3 linked regions of the Drosophila melanogaster genome follow. The protein of the gene in region 3 interacts with the protein of the main gene of each other region in a biochemical or structural test. Each region holds a gene or a part of one and is shown on either strand. Other genes may lie near its edges.

Region 1 (5,750 bases), on a different chromosome or scaffold from region 3:
ACATCAGGCATTGAAAGACCACCTGAACCCAAGTCCAAGCGCATGCATAATTAAAGACCGACGTCTCATTAAAATTTCCATTAAAAACTGGGTGGCCACCCATACAATGGCCCAGTCCAGGGGATAAGTTAATCCTTTCCACAGCAAAAACAGCAATATTCTCTTTTTATATATACATTTACAATGCTGCACAACTGCTAATATAATATAATTAAATAATATGACAGGATTACAATCGAAAAGCCTTGAAAAATTTCAGAGCGTAACATTTTTGTAGTTTTTCTCGGCTCAATTTTTTCCAAAGCTTCCTGCTTTTTTTCTCGGCTATCCTTTTTGTGTTGAGTGAAGCATGTCCTATTGAAGTGAACTTTTGATGGGTCATCAATGCATTGACATTTAAAGCGACAGCTGTCAGGTCAAACAAAAGTGGAACACGACCACAGGACCTTCCTTTTAACCGATTAATCAAATATGCATGACCAGAGTAATTATGTTTGATTAATACACCCATACGTACGCATATATACATATACATATATATTTCTTTTAATTATGTCTTCGCTCGGCTGCAATTGTGTGCGATTGCCATCAATTATATTTTTGCTTAACAATTTTCTCCTTTTGTTTGCTTTTGATTTCCTGCTATTTATCAAACATTTGCATAATATTTCATTCATTCAAAATTGTACGCTCAAAGAGTTTCACAAGTAAACAAAAGGGTATTCATAAAAATTTAAATCAAGTAAATATGTCAATGCCAAAACAAATATAATGGACGCGTTTTGTGTTGCACTTCCATTGCATTTTCAACTTTATTGTGCCATTTAAAAAAATATTGCAACAATTGTAAGCTGATTAAATGGGAAAATATATTCAGGTCATAGAGTCATAAGCAAGTTTAATCAGCTACAGTTACTTTTTGTATCAATCCAATTCGATGAATTGTAGGAAACCATGCACATAAAATACAATTTTTTGCTTATAATTTGGCTCAATATTATAACCCTTTTTTTTCTAACGAAAGAAGGGTTATTAATGTCGTTCTGAAATTCTATAAGCTCAACCGAAATATTTTATAGAGTAACCAAACAGCTTTTAAAGCCTATTTTCTGTTCGGCCTACTTCACTTATTTGTATCTTTCGGTTACTCGCATCTTAAAGCAAGCTTATGAATTTCTTTTCTGTGTGACTTAAGCTGATTTGGGCCAGACAATGAATAGGGAAAGTCAAGGCAAAAAAAAAAAAGGTTAAGTACAATAAAAATAATTTATGTATTTGGGCAACTTTCTGACGCGCAAAGTTCCATAATAAGTGACCTTGCTGAAGCAGCGTGTAAATAAAATGTTGTTTTATTTTCTTAGAAAATGTCTAGCATAAAATGGCAATCTTGTCGGGCGGAAAGTCTTAGTTACCTTTTCCCTGAGCTCACAGGTAATGGTGTTGGGAAAGTGGTCAAAGGTGTAGCATCTAAGCATATTTTCTAAGGCAATCTCAGTAATGGAAATTTGTGGTGGATGCCACAGAAATATGTGCCACATGAGTGGAAAGCTACGACTCTTAGTAAAACTGAAAACGAAGGCATTTCACGTGACCTATTTAAATGTAAGCCTTACCCATCGCGAATTTATGGTTCTTAGCAATAATGTTTCATTATAAATAATGGATCATTAGCTAATTAATTTCAAGAACTTAAAAGAGTTTAAATAGGCTTATTAGTATGTTTCCGAAGAACAAAATTTCAGTTCGTAGTAACTGAATCAGGTTTATGTTCAGTTGCCTGATAAAATTTTAATTAACCAACAAGTAGCTCTCAAATACTTATAACACTTATAATATTCCGTTTGTATATTAATTAAAAATAGTCATTATTATTTATAACACCTTTCCATCAGTGAGTCTTAATATAAGCTTTTAGGAGCATAAATTTGGTGTCCTTCCCCCACAACATTTAATAAAATAAGTTGATTGGAATACCACCCACCTGTATGTTTAGGCACGTGTGTGCCCAGAGAAATTCTTGGCATTTTCATAATTAAATTGAGCTAACAATCCAAGCTCCTCCCACCGGCAACATTTTTTCCTGAACAACTTCTAACCACAGCAAAGAGAAACAGCGAAAAAAAATATCACAATAAATAAAAATGTAACCGTACCACCCGTTGGCTTGGCTTTTCCGCCACTGGGAAAACCAACGCACCACCCAAACTCAAACAATGACACATTGGTTGATATGTGTTTTTGTTTTTTTTTTTTTTTTGTAAGGAAATACATGATTATTGGTGTTAACTAGTTAATGAAATTATTGGATAATTGGCTCAATAAAATTAAAAGGGCTCACCTTTGCTGCGCTGCTGTTGTCCTTTGATCCTGTTTTGTTGCAAATTTTTCGATGTTTGGGTTTTTGATAAAACTCAAAAGTTTCGGTACCGAATCTTTATGAACCTTGGAATTTTCGCAGTGCTAATTTTCACTTTTGTTTTTCAATTTTTTATCATCTAAATAAAGGGACTTTAATGTTTGCTTTATCTCAACCCATCAAGGCCTGTGAACTCATTTTATATGCCCCCTTTTTTTCATGTGTTGAATATCTCAGCCGTGTGATTCCCGTATTTAAACCATTTCTCGCCCTTTTTCCCATTTTATGCAAATATTCCCGGTTAAGCGGAATGCGACCCTAATTTATGAGCCCCAAAGGGAAGGCGAAAGAAAAAAGTTAAAAAGCAAAAGTTCAGACGAGGGAAAATCGCAACATTTTCCGAGAAATTTTAAAAGGAAACCCCAAAGTATTTCTTATAATTATTTCTAAAATTCTCGGACCGCGTTAAGAGATATACGTATTCCTGGACGACCTTGGCGGTCTTAAAAAACAAAACAGCACGCGAAGATGAATAACATTTTTTGTGTGAGTTGGCTGTATGTGCAACGTGCAACGAGTGCAACGTTAATATGCCACAGCCGCCGTGTGGCCTTGATAGGTAAGAATTGAGGTGAAGGATCAGTTGGGGCAGGTTCGGTTTTTAGTTTTAGTCTGGCTTAGTATTTTAGTTTGGTACTCGAATATTCAAGGATCGCTGGCACTCTTGCACACTTTATTTTGGGATATTCGTTTCACTTAAGTGTTGCATACTTGATTTTGCACACTGGCACGCAGGTCTAGATTTTCATTTTTCCGTAGATTTCTTCATATATTTCGTTGCTTTCACATTGCGTGCGTATATTTCACATTGGCTCATTTATTATTTACCTTTATGGCACACTGGACAACTTTTACTTTCGACTAGCGCACCCGTGTCCGTGTGAGTAAGCCCACTTGTGCGTGTGTGAGTGGCGTATTGAGGTTGTCCTCCGAACAGGACCTTCCACCGCTTTTCACCGTGAGAACGAACCGAACGATACGACTGCACTGAATACACTGAAAGCCACACGAACGGCGTCGGCTTGAAAAGCCAGGCGACCAGCCAAAGCTCCCATTTTCCTCTTCCCCTTTTTCGGCGAGAGAGCGAGCTTTTCCGCCTAGAACAGTGGGCCAAAATGTATTCATCCTGCCAGCTCACTTCCAGTCGGTCTTCACTCTCACCGATGGCACTTTCGAACTTCCCGAAACATGTGGAGTCTCTTTGATATCCGGCTCTCTTAAGGCAAGCATTTAATGGCCATCTGTTGGCATCCTTACGAAGCCACAACTCTTTGCCCCGCTTTGCAGAACTCAACACTTGCCAATAGTGCTATTTTGTACCACTCAAAAGGGTAAACTACAGCGTTTATTCTTTTGTTTGTTATTTATATTCTCCTTTAAGCAAACATTTACACATTCGTTGTATGTTGTTGCTAAATTATTAGTGGAGATACAGGAATACTCTCTTACTACCATGCGGCACATTTATTAGCTTTTATTGGTTTGTTTTCTGACAGTTTTCTTTAAAGGTCAAAGCTATTAAATAATATTCGTCACATTTCAGTAAATATTATTTCTATCTGGGCATATAAGATAATTCATGTCAAAATAATTGGATTCTTTATAGCAAAGATATATTCTTTAAATTTAAGCAGATGAAAATTTCTTCTTGCTTGGTTGATTCTTTAACTCGTACAATTCGATTTTTGCAAAGCTGTCAGGGATTTAAAAAGGTTATTTAAATTCCGCAATTGCTATCCATGAAATGGTATCCTGATCCAAAGTGGGTGGTTACTGGCCAGGGGAGTGAGAGACTTCTAATAGGCAGCTCCAGACACTCGGCCTTCTTAAGCACTTAGTGCACATTAAGTGCCAGGGATTCGGATTGTTTGCTGCCCAGTCGTTTGGACTCATGCCCAATCCACGGCAGACCCCATTCAGCATTGAGAAGCCCCGCTTTCTTCCCCAACTGCTCCTTAGTCTGCTTCAAAGTTAACTGACACTTACACTTGCACTTCTGTGAAATCAAATGCATTCGCCTTGGGCTTGGATTTGGATTTCCTTTATGTTCGAGCGGGGCTACCCATTTTCAAGAGGCTGGAAAAACGTTTTTCCAGTTAACGGACACTGAATGATTGGGTAGCATTAAACGGGTAGCACTTTTCGGGTGGGTGGGGCTTAAATGACTTAGTGATAGACTTAAATGAAAAGCCATAAAAGATTGAAAAACCATGCAATCGGTCTGAAAGTTTGCATATTAAACCATTCCATTTAAACACATCCACTTTAGAACGCAACATATTTATTAACCAATCCTAGTCCTCGCAGAATTCTTCCTCCACTCTAGCACTTGTACATCAAACGAATTTTGGTCCAATCCCCTTCGGAAGGTCCTCGCACCTGACCCATTTCCCTCTCCACAGCCTTACCACCGATTAGGGCACGAATTGTTGGCTTTGAGGGATCCTTGGCGAAGGCGTTCTTCGAATAGTGCATAACGCTCTCGTAATCGTATGGAACATTGAAGGTGGTTGTCTGATCCATGGCCATGAACTGCGACCAGTATTTCCTCGGGATATTGTCGTAGTCGATTTGCACGTACTCATCGCGATCGGGACGACTCTGCTCGTGGAAAAGGCCCAGCAGGTGAAGGGTTTCGTGTTGAATTACAGCCGGCATAGTGAGGCATTTCTCGTTAAGGACAACTTCGTGCGGACCAAAGGACAGAGGTTGATAGCCCACTCGAGTGCCACACATATTGGGCGACTTCTTGAAGGACACATATCGTTTGCCTGCGGGCGGAGCTCCTTCGATCTCTTCGAACTGCACACAGGTTTGCTCGCCAAAACTTGACATTGCTGTCCGCACATTGGCTACCTCCTGTTCACTGTAGTCCGTAGATATGCGGTACAATATCTTATTGCCTGGCCAACGTTGGAGTGGAGAAGTCAATGCATTTCGGGTTTTGGCCTCCGCCTGCTCGTCATCAATATGTATCTCGTTGTAGTAGTTCTCGTAGGACTCAATTCCTTCGGACGCCACCAGATTGGGTGCAAAAATCCCCGCCAAAAGCAAATACCGAACAGCTTTAAGGAACATTTCTATAGCTATGACCAAACTTCAAATGCCAACCCGCTTTTATAGTCATTTAATTAAAATAGTTATCAGTTTTATTTCTGTCTCGAAAATATTCTTTATATTAAGGTTTTACATACATACACGGACAAATCAAGTACAGGCAAAAAAAAAATACTTTCCCTAGCACAAACGTGAACTTTGTTTTTGAATGTACCCTTTTTAAATGATTACATTTTCTTTACAACATCGAAACGAGAATTTTAAAAACTTTACATGA
Region 2 (7,006 bases), 1.3 Mb from region 3:
ACTTATTCCTTATGCGCATGGGATGTGATCGAAAAGTCCAAACGCAAGAAGACGATGGTGAACAAGAAGATGATATAAATAAAGCCGCTGACCAGCAGGGGTTCCTGCAGCATAGAAGTCTTCGAGAAGCTGTAGTGGAGCGTAAAGTCCGAAATGTGGCTTTCGACCAAATTGGATTTGGAGAACGAGACCACCGGGCGACCAATGGTATCCAGATAGGTGTGCACCAGCTCATTGGGCAATCGGCTGATGGAGTAGGGCGTGGACAGCCTAATGTCACTGGATCCCTCAGGCAGAATAATCTTGATGGTGGCCTCATCGATGGCCATATTGTCGTAGATGTGATCGATGAGGTGCATCTTCAGCTGGTACTTGTTGCCATCGTTGAACATGTACTCGTACGAGGGCACATTGTAGCCCAGAGTGTATTGCGTTTTCCAGCCGCCGAAGAGCGGGAAGCGCGGACGCAGCTCCAGCTCGATGAAGTCGCGCACGGCGTTCATGTTGGAGGTGGAAATGTTGCCATTGGTGTCGCGGTAATAGACACCAGATGCGGATGCTGGCAGGTAGGTCTTGTACGACTTGAGGGCCGCCAGTCCGGAGCGTCCTTCCTTCTGGAAATCGTAGCGCGAGAACGAGCCCTTCAGCTTGGCCCCGGTGTGCGTCATCTGAATAGACTCCTGGACGGCAATGTTGCCCCAATGCGATATCTCCAGCGTGCGTTCCAGCGTATTGACGGTGACGAATGGTGCGGAGTTCTCATAGTGGATGACTAGTGGCTCCTGGCTGAAGGCTGCACGAATCGAAAGCGTTAGAACAGACGGTTTCTGCTAGGCAGCTATTACTTACCCTCTACGTTTTCGTAGGGTCCCAGGGTGATCTTGTTGGAGGACACCGAAAAGGGTTTGACCTGGGTGTGCGACAAGATGTTCGAGGAGCTGAGCTTGACATTGGTCTTCTGGCTGTTGGTCCTGTACTTGGAATAGAGGTGCAGATTGCCCGTATATTTCACGAACTGCTTGTCGTTCTGCCGTATCTCCTCCGGATGTGGGCGGATGCCCTTAGAGGCCACGGTCTCGACGATGAACGTCTGCTTGGCGGCGGCCCTGGGGAAGGTGAACGTGAAGCTCTGCTCCCCCTTCACGGGCTCATTCCGCTTGAATGGCACACTCTTGTCGCTAGCATCTTTTACGTCAATGTACGCCAAACTGGGCTCCGATGTGAAAAACACGTATTCCACAATCGGCTTGCCGGCCGAATCTTCCGCCGAGATCTTGGTGGTCGTCTTTACCAGCTGCGATGTTAGGTCCAGCGTTCGCTCCACATTTGTGTTCACTATTTCCCCGTTGGCAGTGGCCAGGCAGAGGAGTGCCCCAAGCGCCAGATAAATAACAAAATTCGTAGCCATGCTCGCCTCAAATTTGGACACGTACATTGGAAAATCTCGAAGCGTTAGGGCATATTTAAGACCATTCAGCCGGCAAAGCGGCTCAGCGTGACCGTGTCACGCATTCGTACTTTTACCAGCCACTGCGCAGAATTATCAGGGGTATTCCATAAATATTTTAATTTTTATTCTTATAACAGAAAAAATATATAAAGGGCAGTAACCAAAATAATAGCACTTCTAAATAAAGCTTATTTTGCATCAATTTAAGCACAAAATATATAATAATCATTTATAAAATATTATTGATATATTTTAAGTTCTGCATGCATGTTTTATAGCATACATAATTTTTGTTGTGTTTTAACGATTCTCATTGTTATATTACATTATATTATTATATTATCTTGTTAGCGAAGCACTTATCAAGTACTGACCTAACCTAACTTTTGGCTGATAGCAGTCAGCTGACTGGGCGCCATTTCAATCGATTGGCAGCAGAATAAAACTAATTTTGGAAAGCACCCCACCAAAGTTCGTTATCTATTACCCTTAGAACAAGAATACACGCCGTTGTTACGCCACTTTTGTGCGACTCATGCGATTCTCTATGCCATTCATTATGCCGCCCAGCAGTAAATATGAATAATATTAAATAATTCCTGTCATCATCCCTTCGATTGGCGAGTCGAGTTGGCTTAAACACGCATATGCAATGCAATCCGGAGAGAAGAGACCCCACATAATGCGATTGCGTGAGTTATACGGATGGGGCTTTTTGCCGACTTCAATTTAGTCGACGATTGGCACTTCGAAAACGAAGTTGTATTCGCCGGGGTGTGAACTGCGGACTCTTGGCTCCAACCAAGTAAATTCGAATCCAGAATTGTGCCATTTTCTCTAAACACACACACACACACACACACCCGCACGCACATACACACACCCGCACACACAGAGGCCGCGTGTGTGAAAATATAACGAAAATGCAGTGAGAAATCTGCACTTCTGACGGTCAATACATACAATTTATACATCTTTCACCTGTGTATCTGTATCTGTATTCTCGAAAATATGTAGCTATGAAATAGTCATACGAATGCTTTATGATTGCATAAACAATTAGAGGCGAAATGTGTATGTACGCGTAAGGATTTGCCGAGCAGTCAGTGCAAAAAGAGCAGAAAAACGGGAAAAAAGTGAGTTTTCCTCCATCAATTTCTGTGTATGCATTTCCTCCAAAATATATACATATATCTGTATGCATATATGTATGTTTGTATCCGTGACATGTGTTTTTTTTCTGTGCATAAAATATTAGTGAAGAAAGAAATTGAATTCCTCCACTTAAGTCAAGATTATCCCAAAAAAGAAAAAACATGATACAAGTTTCAAGTTGTTTGCGTGACCCATACATATAAATATCTTGTATCTGCGAGCTATAAAACATACATACATACTCCACGGTGCATCGTTGTTGCCACAAATATTTTTAGAAATACACATTGGACATACATACATACATAAATACAAATGTACTCATAAACTGAAGTTCGTTGCAGGAGGACAATGTTGCTGCGGGTATAAAGTTGAATTAGAAAAGTATACGATCCGCGGAGCCTCGAATTCGGAAATAATGGAACCGAAAAGATGGCACTTGCATTTATCATGTTTTTTGCTACTCCTTAGTTCAACTTTTTCTGGTAAGCAAAGGTCGCCAACTTTATGAATCGTTAAACGATTTTTATCACTTTTGCGCTAAGTTGTATGCTATAAATTGGAAGCGAAAACCTTCGATTGCGTTTTTACTTTATTTTGATTGCTTTTGAAGGTAAATAAAAAAAAATATTAAATACCAAGAGAAATTAGTGAACGAAAAATTTTATTTCTATGCAAAAGTAATTAAAAATAAAACGAAAGCTATGAAAACGAAAGCTATGAAGGCATAGATAAAAGATACATTTTTAAGTTTCATTTTTACATTTTACATTTTTAAGTTTTTTTTTTTTAACATTTCACCGCAAATCACTTTGGATTCATTCATTTCATGTGATTTTTGACACATTTATATTAAGAGATTTTGTTTAATATTCATTGAACAACCATTTCAGATGTCGGGAAGATCACTTCGTCTCAAAATCATTTTGGTAACACCTTACAAAGTCAATTTAATACGAAGAACAACACTCGAGTTATTGCACAAAAGGGAGGACTTGCCATTCTGCCCTGTGTGGTCAAAGTTAACTCCCCAGCCACGGTGAGATATATGTTTTTCTTAAAATTTATACATCGATTCTAATACTTAGACCTTTTGCAACATTTCAGGTTTCCTGGATACGTAGAAAGGACTTCCAGCTCCTGACAGTGGGCCTATCCACCCACAGTAGTGACAAGCGATTCTTGGTGGAGCACACGCGGCACATGGGCCACTGGTCCCTGAGAATTAAGGCAGTTCGGGAGGAAGATCGCGGTTTTTACGAGTGTCAATTGTCTATTTATCCAACTCAGTCAATAGTTATAGAATTAAAGATTGTCGGTAAGTGGACGCAGCTGCCTTACAAAGTTCAAAGCTTAACGGGTATTGAATCTTTTCGTTGTATAGAAGCGGTAGCTGAGATTTCTAGTGCACCGGAATTGCATATTGATGAGACTTCTACTCTGCGACTCGAATGCAAACTGAAGCGAGCTACCGAGAATCCTGCATTTGTTTTTTGGTATGAAAAATAATATGAGTTAGATTTGTAAAATTTTATATTATTCTAAACATAAGACCCAACTTAACCGAATGCAATTTCTTCAATTTAGGTACCATGATAGTAAAATGATCAATTACGACTCACAAGGCGGCTTCGTTGTGACATCGATTGGGCAAAGCAATCCGCAGAGTGGCCAGTTTTACCGTAGCTCGCCGGCGAACAAATCGCGCGCCACCATGCCCATGGAGTCCAGCAATGGGGTGCTCAACAGCCTGCTGGGCAGCTCGGATGCTATCAAGGCACCGGCCGCCAATGTGCCCTCCTCCACGCCCTATATGACGCAACAGCATCAATCCGCCTATCTCCTGAATCCCTCGGTCAGTGTGCTTACTGTGAAGCAAGTCAATTTCCGTCATGCCGGCAACTATACATGTGCTCCATCAAATGCCCGTCCTGCCAGCATTACAGTGCATGTTCTAAGGGGTAAGACCGCCGCCGGTCGATATTTAAATATATGTCATACTCATTGTAATTATAATAGGTGAGAAAACGGCGGCCATGCAGCACGCCAATCGGAGCATTTTGGATACGGAGACCAACGGCAACGGCACCTTCGGATTGATCACATTGGGTGGACTGAATGGAACTAGCGGCGTAACTCTGGCCGGGGGAATCCTCTACTTCTCTGGGCTGTTCCTGCTGATGGGCGCGGTGGTATTCGATCGATTCTCGTTGGCGGCAACTCACAAGGTATTCGTAGCATTTATAATAGTCACTATGCATAGCTGAAACTTATAATCGATGGTATTTGGAATGGAGCAACTTCAATCATTCGAGGATATTATATTTGAGAATATTTGTTTTAAAATAGAAGATTGTAAATAGATCATTGACATACCATATTGAGATGCCGGCGTGGGCATGGTAAGACATTTAAAGTAATCTAAGAATAAACTGTAAATAGACTTCCATTACATGCAATGTATTGAATTGAGAAATAAGATGAGAATTCACGAACTTGTTACCACAAAACTTATAAAATGCATACCTATGCCAATAAGTCATGGGGGATTGAAAACCGCATATTTTGATGGTTCATAGTGGTACGTAAGATATAATGTATGCTTAGATGTTCATATTTATTGACTGGTACTGGTACTGACATTTTAATGTTACAAACAATGGAATTAGCGTAAAATGATAATGATAAAGCCATACAGATTTGTTACCTAATAACTCGGAAAATTTGATCGTCACCTTTAAACTGTTATTCTGCTCAGTGTTCGATATTTAGTATATAGATTGATTTATGTAAGCACCTTTAGAAGTATGCTAATTCATATACTGTATGTACAACTGTAAATAAATATTACTTCCGTGAGCGTTTTCAAAAGCGCTGTCTTCAATCCAAAATGGGCAGAAGTGCCAGTTTCGTTTTGTTTACCCTCGAATACGGAGTGCAAAACGACTTTTAAATTTTGTTGCCGACATAAGAACGTTTTAAATAAACAGATCAATTTTAAGAAACCCGCTTCTGGTTAAGTTATTTGCTCTTCAGTTGGGTGGTACACATTTAAAAAATGAATACGAAAATGTTATGAATATTTTTGAACTCATTTTCAAATGTAAGACCCCCTTCCGATTTCTGTTTCATATACCGCAGTTCCGTGAGGTGCAATCTTAGCTTGTCGTTGTATTTGACACAAGTTATCGATAATTCTACATAGCTGAACTACCATCGCTGAAAAATGTTGGCAAAACAAAAAGATGAGATCCGAAATTTTGGCAAGCGCCTTTTTGGGCCTGGCGGTTAGGTCGATTATCTCGCTGTACTCCTACTCCGGCTTCGATTCCCCGCCGATGCATGGCGACTACGAGGCCCAGCGCCACTGGCAAGAGATCACGGTCAATCTGGCAGTGGGGGAATGGTACACAAACAGCTCCAACAACGATCTTCAGTACTGGGGCCTGGATTATCCGCCTCTGACGGCCTACCACAGCTATTTGGTGGGTCGCATAGGAGCATCCATTGACCCCCGCTTCGTCGAGCTGCACAAGAGCAGGGGATTCGAGTCGAAGGAGCACAAACGCTTCATGCGCGCAACAGTTGTTTCTGCTGACGTGCTCATCTATTTGCCGGCAATGTTGTTGCTGGCCTATTCCCTAGATAAAGCCTTTCGAAGCGATGATAAATTGTTCCTATTCACGCTGGTGGCCGCGTATCCCGGACAAACACTCATCGACAATGGACACTTTCAGTATAATAATATATCACTGGGCTTTGCCGCCGTGGCAATTGCCGCAATCTTGCGAAGAAGATTCTACGCGGCTGCATTTTTCTTCACTTTAGCCCTTAATTATAAGCAAATGGAGCTGTATCACAGCTTGCCGTTCTTTGCGTTCCTTCTGGGTGAATGTGTAAGCCAAAAAAGGTGGGTACTTGCGATTCAAAACGACTTTTTTTTAATAGCAAGACAGCTAAAGAATCCTCGATACTAAATCTAAACTCATCTTAATCTTTTCAACCACAGCTTTGCTTCTTTTATCGCTGAAATCTCACGGATAGCAGCCGTTGTCTTAGGAACATTTGCTATTTTATGGGTTCCTTGGTTGGGATCTCTGCAGGCCGTACTTCAAGTACTCCATCGCCTGTTTCCTGTCGCCCGAGGAGTTTTTGAGGACAAGGTGGCCAATGTTTGGTGTGCCGTCAACGTAGTTTGGAAACTAAAGTAAGAAAGTAGAATCAAGTTGGATACAATTTTGTAATGTAACAAATTGTAGGAAGCATATCAGCAATGACCAAATGGCCCTTGTGTGCATTGCATGCACGTTAATTGCATCTTTGCCAACAAATGTACTACTCTTTCGAAGGCGAACTAATGTCGGATTTCTATTAGCGCTTTTCAACACGAGCCTGGCATTC
Region 3 (5,895 bases):
GCTAGGTGCTAAAGGGCACTTATGCGTAACATTGCGTAAGTGCAGCTGTCAGATAAAACGAGGGGATGCATCAAGGGGAGATGCAGCAAAGTGCATGCCAGCTTGAGTGTGAAAATTGCTGGAAAAATGAATGCATGCTTATGGGGAGTTGGTTTTAAATCCATTCCATTTTCGCCTCCGCTGGGAAAATGGAAATGCGACGTCAGCCTGCGGTTTTTTCAACCCTCAAAATTACGTGATGTTATTACGTTTGTTGGCCATAAAAGGGTCTACAAATCTCCGCCCATTAAACTTTCGATTCTCATCTTTAATCTTGTTTTATTACTCGGTCGGATTTTCGTACATGTATTGTTTTGTTTCCTAAACTCAAATATCCCAAATATAAATCTTACCAGACAAGCCGGGGCAAAACTTTGCCGATAGTATTCCCCAAACTATTTTACCTCATTTGGGCAGTCCTTAGCAGAGAGACTAGACTGCAGGGCATACTTAACCAAAGTCGCAGACAAACTGCAAAAGAAATTGTGAATATATCTACACAGGAAAACAGGAACCAAACTTTCCATTTTCAATTTGCTGCAGACTTTGGCTAAGTACCAGAGAAGGAGGTCCAATATTTCCGACCGGTTTTGTATACTTTTTTTCCATTTTGTTTAGCTCTGTCTACTTAAACTCGCATTGAACTGGAAGAATAACATTGAACAGCAAACAATCAGCAGTCAAAAATTTCATTGTTAAGGCGGCAGCGGGAAAAAATAGCAAAACAAGTAGAGGGGAAAAACAGGAAACTTTCGGACAAGGCGTGAAAAATACAAAAAGACTGGGAAAGAGAGAAAAAAACTTTTTCCATGGTGAGAAAAACTTTACAAAGCAGCCAACAAAGTGTTGTAATGGCTGGCATCCAAAGGGATCCCCCGTCCAACGCTTGACTTTTGACCCAACGAAGCGAATGTGTTGCAACGACCTTTGTGGCCTTTCCGCCTCCGCCTCCTCATTCGCCATCACCTAATCCACCCGCTCCACCCACTCTTCCTGTTTTGGTCACATCCTGGCGCAACAGTCGACCACGCCCACTCGCCGCCCTATCACCTCTGGGATTCCCCCCACAATGAACTTGCCAAGCGATGGTGCACGTTTCTCCTTGGGTGTGTGGTGTGTAGAGGAATCCCAGGGAGAGGGTCACAGAGCAGTCATCTTGTCTGCCGTCTAGCCTTGTCAGTTTTAATGTTTTTGGCATTGAGCGATGTCTGTGATTTGAAAGAGTTCATTAAGATAGTTCAGTATGGCCAACAGGGAGAATTCATCACTCTCATATCGCATACAATCCGTCTATATATAGACTAACTTTCAGACGGATATGCATCGTTTTTTTTTCCTTCTGCACAACTGACCAGTGCTTGTCGAGATGATTACAGTGCCCTTAAAACAAGGTCTAGTTAAAAAATAGCAAAACTTTTTTCGTGCACCTAATTTAATAGGATAAAATCATCATGAAATACTTCAAAAAATAAGTAACTAAAAATATTATCTGTCTAACCATTCAAAAATACCACTGTTAACTTTGAAAAGAACTTCTTAATTAACCGTCTACCAACTGACAACCAGCTTTGCTAGCTCAGTCAGTCATAAAACGCAATTATCACCCTCAATTAGATGGTCCTGCATCAGCGAAAATCGAATAAGCAACGCTTGCAAATTGAATATCTCAAATTAATTGCACTTTTTTCGCTCAACATACGCACATGGACTTGAAATGAAATGCAAATAAATTTAATTAACTTGTCTAATTAAATACTTGGCTCCAAATAGCAATATGCAGCAACCAACGGAAAGCAAAAATGTGTTTTGATTTTGTTTTCATTTTATCTTAATTCAATTATTATTAAAAGGGTACAGCTTCAGCCGGAACGAGCCAAAAAGGTTCGACGGCGGAATCGGCATGCAACTCGAACTTTGAGAGGTGATTTTGGGGCATGGTGTTGCAGGTTGGACTCTGTTAACATTTTTGTCGCGTGTTTTGCGGTCTGTTGTTGTGGTTGCGGTTGCACGCAAACAACAAGCCTCCGAACATAACAAGGATACCGGACATAACCAGCAACCGGCAGCAACAACTACCAATGAACAGCATCCAGCGTCCTTTGGTTGGCTTAAACCGAAGCTACACTTCGGCTCGCTCTGTCGGCCGTCGGCTCGTCCCCGCCTGTTATCACTCGGCCAACGCGGCGTATACGTAACAGCACTTCCCATTCGTTAGATTTTCCCTTATTGTTGTTGGTGGAAAGCCAGAGCCCGGCTCTGTGCGAGCATTAGGTTTCGTCGGCAAATCAGTTTCGCTACGGATTCTGCACGAAGCGGACGCGTTTTATCGGTGTTACACTGAAAGATCCCCGGCAAAGGGAAAGTCGTACTCAAGTGTCATGTGATCGATGCCAAATTAGAAGCACCTGACTCAATGTGATCGTGTTGAGAAATGACTTAAAAGTCGAGCTAAAAAACTTAGGTCCACTTGATTATAAAATTTAAAAAAATACCAAAACTTGTAAGCGTTTTATTGAAAGATTACAATTTGTAAAAGTGGTTGAAAACTTGGTATATCATACGTAACACAAAACTAACCTACAGAATTAAATATTCACAAAAATATTCTTGTAGTTACAGTATGTAAATTAATTATTTCAATACATGCAATTCATACTATTAAGGTCTTAAACAGAAGAACAATTTGATCATCGGAAAAGTCTTTTTTATTAATAATTCATAGAATAGAATAGAAACTTTATAAAAATATGGAATTTTAAATTTAACAAACTTTAGATATTATTTATAAATATCAGTGACAGAAGTATATTAAATCGAAAGTTCCAACAATTTTTAAAAGTGCGAGTGCCGGTTAGGATAAGTAATTATAAGCTATGTTAAAAATTGAAAATGCAATAAGGAGTTGGTTTAATGCGTTTGTTTCGTTACGCTATATATTATATTTATGTATAAAATCTTAATTACAATATATAATGTAAAAGGTTTATGTTTGGGACTGCAGATCATTCAAATGCAATTAAAGACTTCGATTTATCTTAGTGCGAGTATTTCAAATAACTGAACTCCATTTAATGGTTAACCACAGCTACAATCCAGACCACAAACTCACATGTCACTTGTCAGGCCCTCGAAATGGGTAAACAATTAACAGTTAACTCTGCTAATGCACATTTCATGCCAACAAAAAGTAAACAAACAGCGAGACTATCTCCAGGACCCTCGAAGTCCTTAAATCCCGAAAACTGGCAGACACGCACACAACGCCATTCTTCAATCTGTGAAAAATTCCCAAACAAACTTATATGCGAATAAATGAATCCACTAGAGTTCACTTTGGGACAACTCGCAAAAAAAATAGTCGAAGGGGAAATTTGTTGCGATTGATAAAGGACAGCAGTTGTTGCCACTGCAACGCAATGCACAACACACAAACACAACCGAAAACAGCAAGGCAAATATAAACAAAGAATTTAGCTTAAAAATACATTAACCCACTGCATCCATGAGAATCAGGATATGCAGGGAAAAGGGCCAGGACCCGACTGCCAACTGCTGAAAACTTGCATACTTAATGGAGTAGGAGATAGAGACAGACAACGCAGAGAGTACAGTGGGGCCTATGTGTTACTGGACACAACTGTATTCCAAATGCAGAATAAGTCTTTGAGTATGAATATTGTCAAAGCTCATTGTAAACGTTTCTTAGCATTTTGTTACAATTTATTAAAAAAAAAAAATATTAAAGAGAAATATTTAATTACAGTATACAACATTGGAAACTAATAGAAATTGTTGTAAAAATACTTTACATAATTTATTCAATATACCAAGACTTAGAATGGATCCACCACTAATATCAATATATCGGTTCTTATGGTCCAAATATTTTAATTCCATTTAATATATAATTAAGATTTAAATTATTTCATATTTATAACATATGTGAAATGATTCATTTTGTTGGGTATCCACTGTACAATGGTATGTTTTGCATTCAGGCATCATTGCAGATCAATGGCAATATGGAGCTGATACAGTTTGAGTAAGACACGTAAACACACAGAGCAGAAGAAGGATGGGAAACTCATGGATGTCAGCTGTTTCAGAACTTTTTTCAAAAGCTAGTGAAGAGAGGGCTTATTGGTTCTTTATTTATTTCCATCTTTTTTGAATTCTTTTTTGAGTTCAGCTTTGTTGCGTTTTGTTTGCTCGAGTTCGGTTTGACGTTTGCAGTTACAGGAACTTTACAAATTGTGTAGAGTAAAACAAACAAAATAGCAAAACTTTGATGCTGCTGATGATGATGTCGAAAATATGTGTGAGCTTTGATCATAAGTGCATATTTATTGGTGCGTTTATTTGGTAAATTTAGTTTCTATATTGCACTTCTGAAAATATAATAGAGTACTTTATCCAGATAAAATCAGAGTTAAATTGAGTCTAGTTAAGCTTGTATTATCCGAATAAATAGTAACGTGAACTAACGAATTTTCGATAAGGGAGAGATGTAAGTCCTTAAATAAAACCAAATTAAATCGGAATTTTATTTTCATGTATTTGTATTGTTTGCTGCCAAAATATAAGTGATAGGTAACAGGCACAACCTTTCTAGCTTGCTTCTTCTTTGAAGAACCTTTTAATGTAAATAAATTCGGCCATAGGTAAACATATCTTAATTCAATTTCGGCCTCCTTTGTGCTGCTTTCTTTTCTCCCTTCAATTACCACAAAACCATGAAGGTTAAAAGCTGTCAGGCATTTATAGAAGCTTAGGAGAAATCCCCTGAGAGCTAGGAACATTTTTTTTGGGCTAATGACTATGTCAGGATTAATTTACGTTTACACAGAATCTTTTAAAAAGAAAATTTAAACACCCAATAAAAAATATTATAATGGCTATGAACTTAGTCAGCATAAACAAATAAATGTTATTGTCTCTTTCATCTACGCACCCGTTTAGTTAAGTCCCTTTAATCCCGCAACAATTATAAGCCAATTTGTTTTACCAAAAAGTTATCATTATAAAAACAGCAAAAACCAAACAAACACTAAATAGCCCCATTAAAATTTAATTTCCTAGCATAAAAATACAAGAAAAACACATTCGGAACAAGTTTCTCCCTCAACAATTTATTAATTTAATTACAAACACTTTGCCAAACTCATAAAAAAGTGCATAAAATTTGTTGGACTTCTTGTTCTTGTTTCTGATGGTAAATCTGTTTCGGTCCATACCAAAAAAGCTTTATCATGTGTGCGTGGTTTTTGGGGGAAGAGGTGGAGTCAAAATTGCTTAATTTCATAAGCGAGTCATAAGGGAAAAAGTTTTGTCTCTGTGTAAGTGTTTCGCAAGCTGCGTGTGGACCCCCTAAATAGCTGAAGGCGACACGCTCAAAAGCCATAAAAAATACAATTTTTAAGAGAAAGTTTTGAATGAGATGGCCAAGAAACAGCAACCAGAGTAGAGGACTGCGCGTGACACAACTATATTTCAAAGACCTATGAATTTAAACTACAATATCAGACACATATCGACATGTCCAATGAAAATATTACCAGTAAAATTAAAAAAATTTTTAAATTCGATTTTCTAAAATAAAGTGTCTATACTAAAAATCAATCTAAATTAATATTATCAATTAGATGTTAATACAAATTATGAAGTTAGTCAAATATTGGTGGTGTTTATAAAGTGAATTATATGATATATATATATGATTTTTTATTAATTATATCATAAATAGTTAATGTACAGATAAAATCAAAGCACACTGTGCACATTTCTTTTAGATGATCTTAAGATACTACGGCATAGACAAAAATGAAGTTGTAAAAGAAAAACGAATGCTCGGTGAGG

Evidence for each region.
Region 1: the proteins of DIP-zeta (region 3) and dpr9 form a complex in vitro, tested with the Drosophila melanogaster proteins (one study listed by BioGRID).
Region 2: the proteins of DIP-zeta (region 3) and dpr19 form a complex in vitro, tested with the Drosophila melanogaster proteins (one study listed by BioGRID).

What each region holds. Positions count from the first base shown.
Region 1 is NT_033777.3:15,073,792-15,079,541, forward strand, and holds the start of dpr9 (defective proboscis extension response 9), read right to left. Parts: upstream 3,416-5,750; 5' UTR 3,245-3,415; intron 2,496-3,244; 5' UTR 2,339-2,495; intron 1-2,338. Other genes in the region: CG6974 (uncharacterized protein), read right to left, coding at 4,739-5,494.
Region 2 is NT_033779.5:10,374,299-10,381,304, forward strand, and holds dpr19 (defective proboscis extension response 19), read left to right. Parts: upstream 1-1,869; 5' UTR 1,870-2,255; exon of another isoform or gene 2,256-2,586; intron 2,587-2,949; 5' UTR 2,950-3,023; coding exon 3,024-3,090; intron 3,091-3,498; coding exon 3,499-3,644; intron 3,645-3,712; coding exon 3,713-3,923; intron 3,924-3,989; coding exon 3,990-4,101; intron 4,102-4,192; coding exon 4,193-4,566; intron 4,567-4,624; coding exon 4,625-4,872; 3' UTR 4,873-5,607; downstream 5,608-7,006. Other genes in the region: CG33303 (uncharacterized protein), read right to left, coding at 3-793, 850-1,435; gny (garnysstan), read left to right, coding at 5,851-6,515, 6,615-6,812, 6,865-7,006.
Region 3 is NT_033779.5:9,067,594-9,073,488, reverse strand, and holds the start of DIP-zeta (Dpr-interacting protein zeta), read left to right. Parts: upstream 1-2,324; 5' UTR 2,325-2,657; intron 2,658-5,895.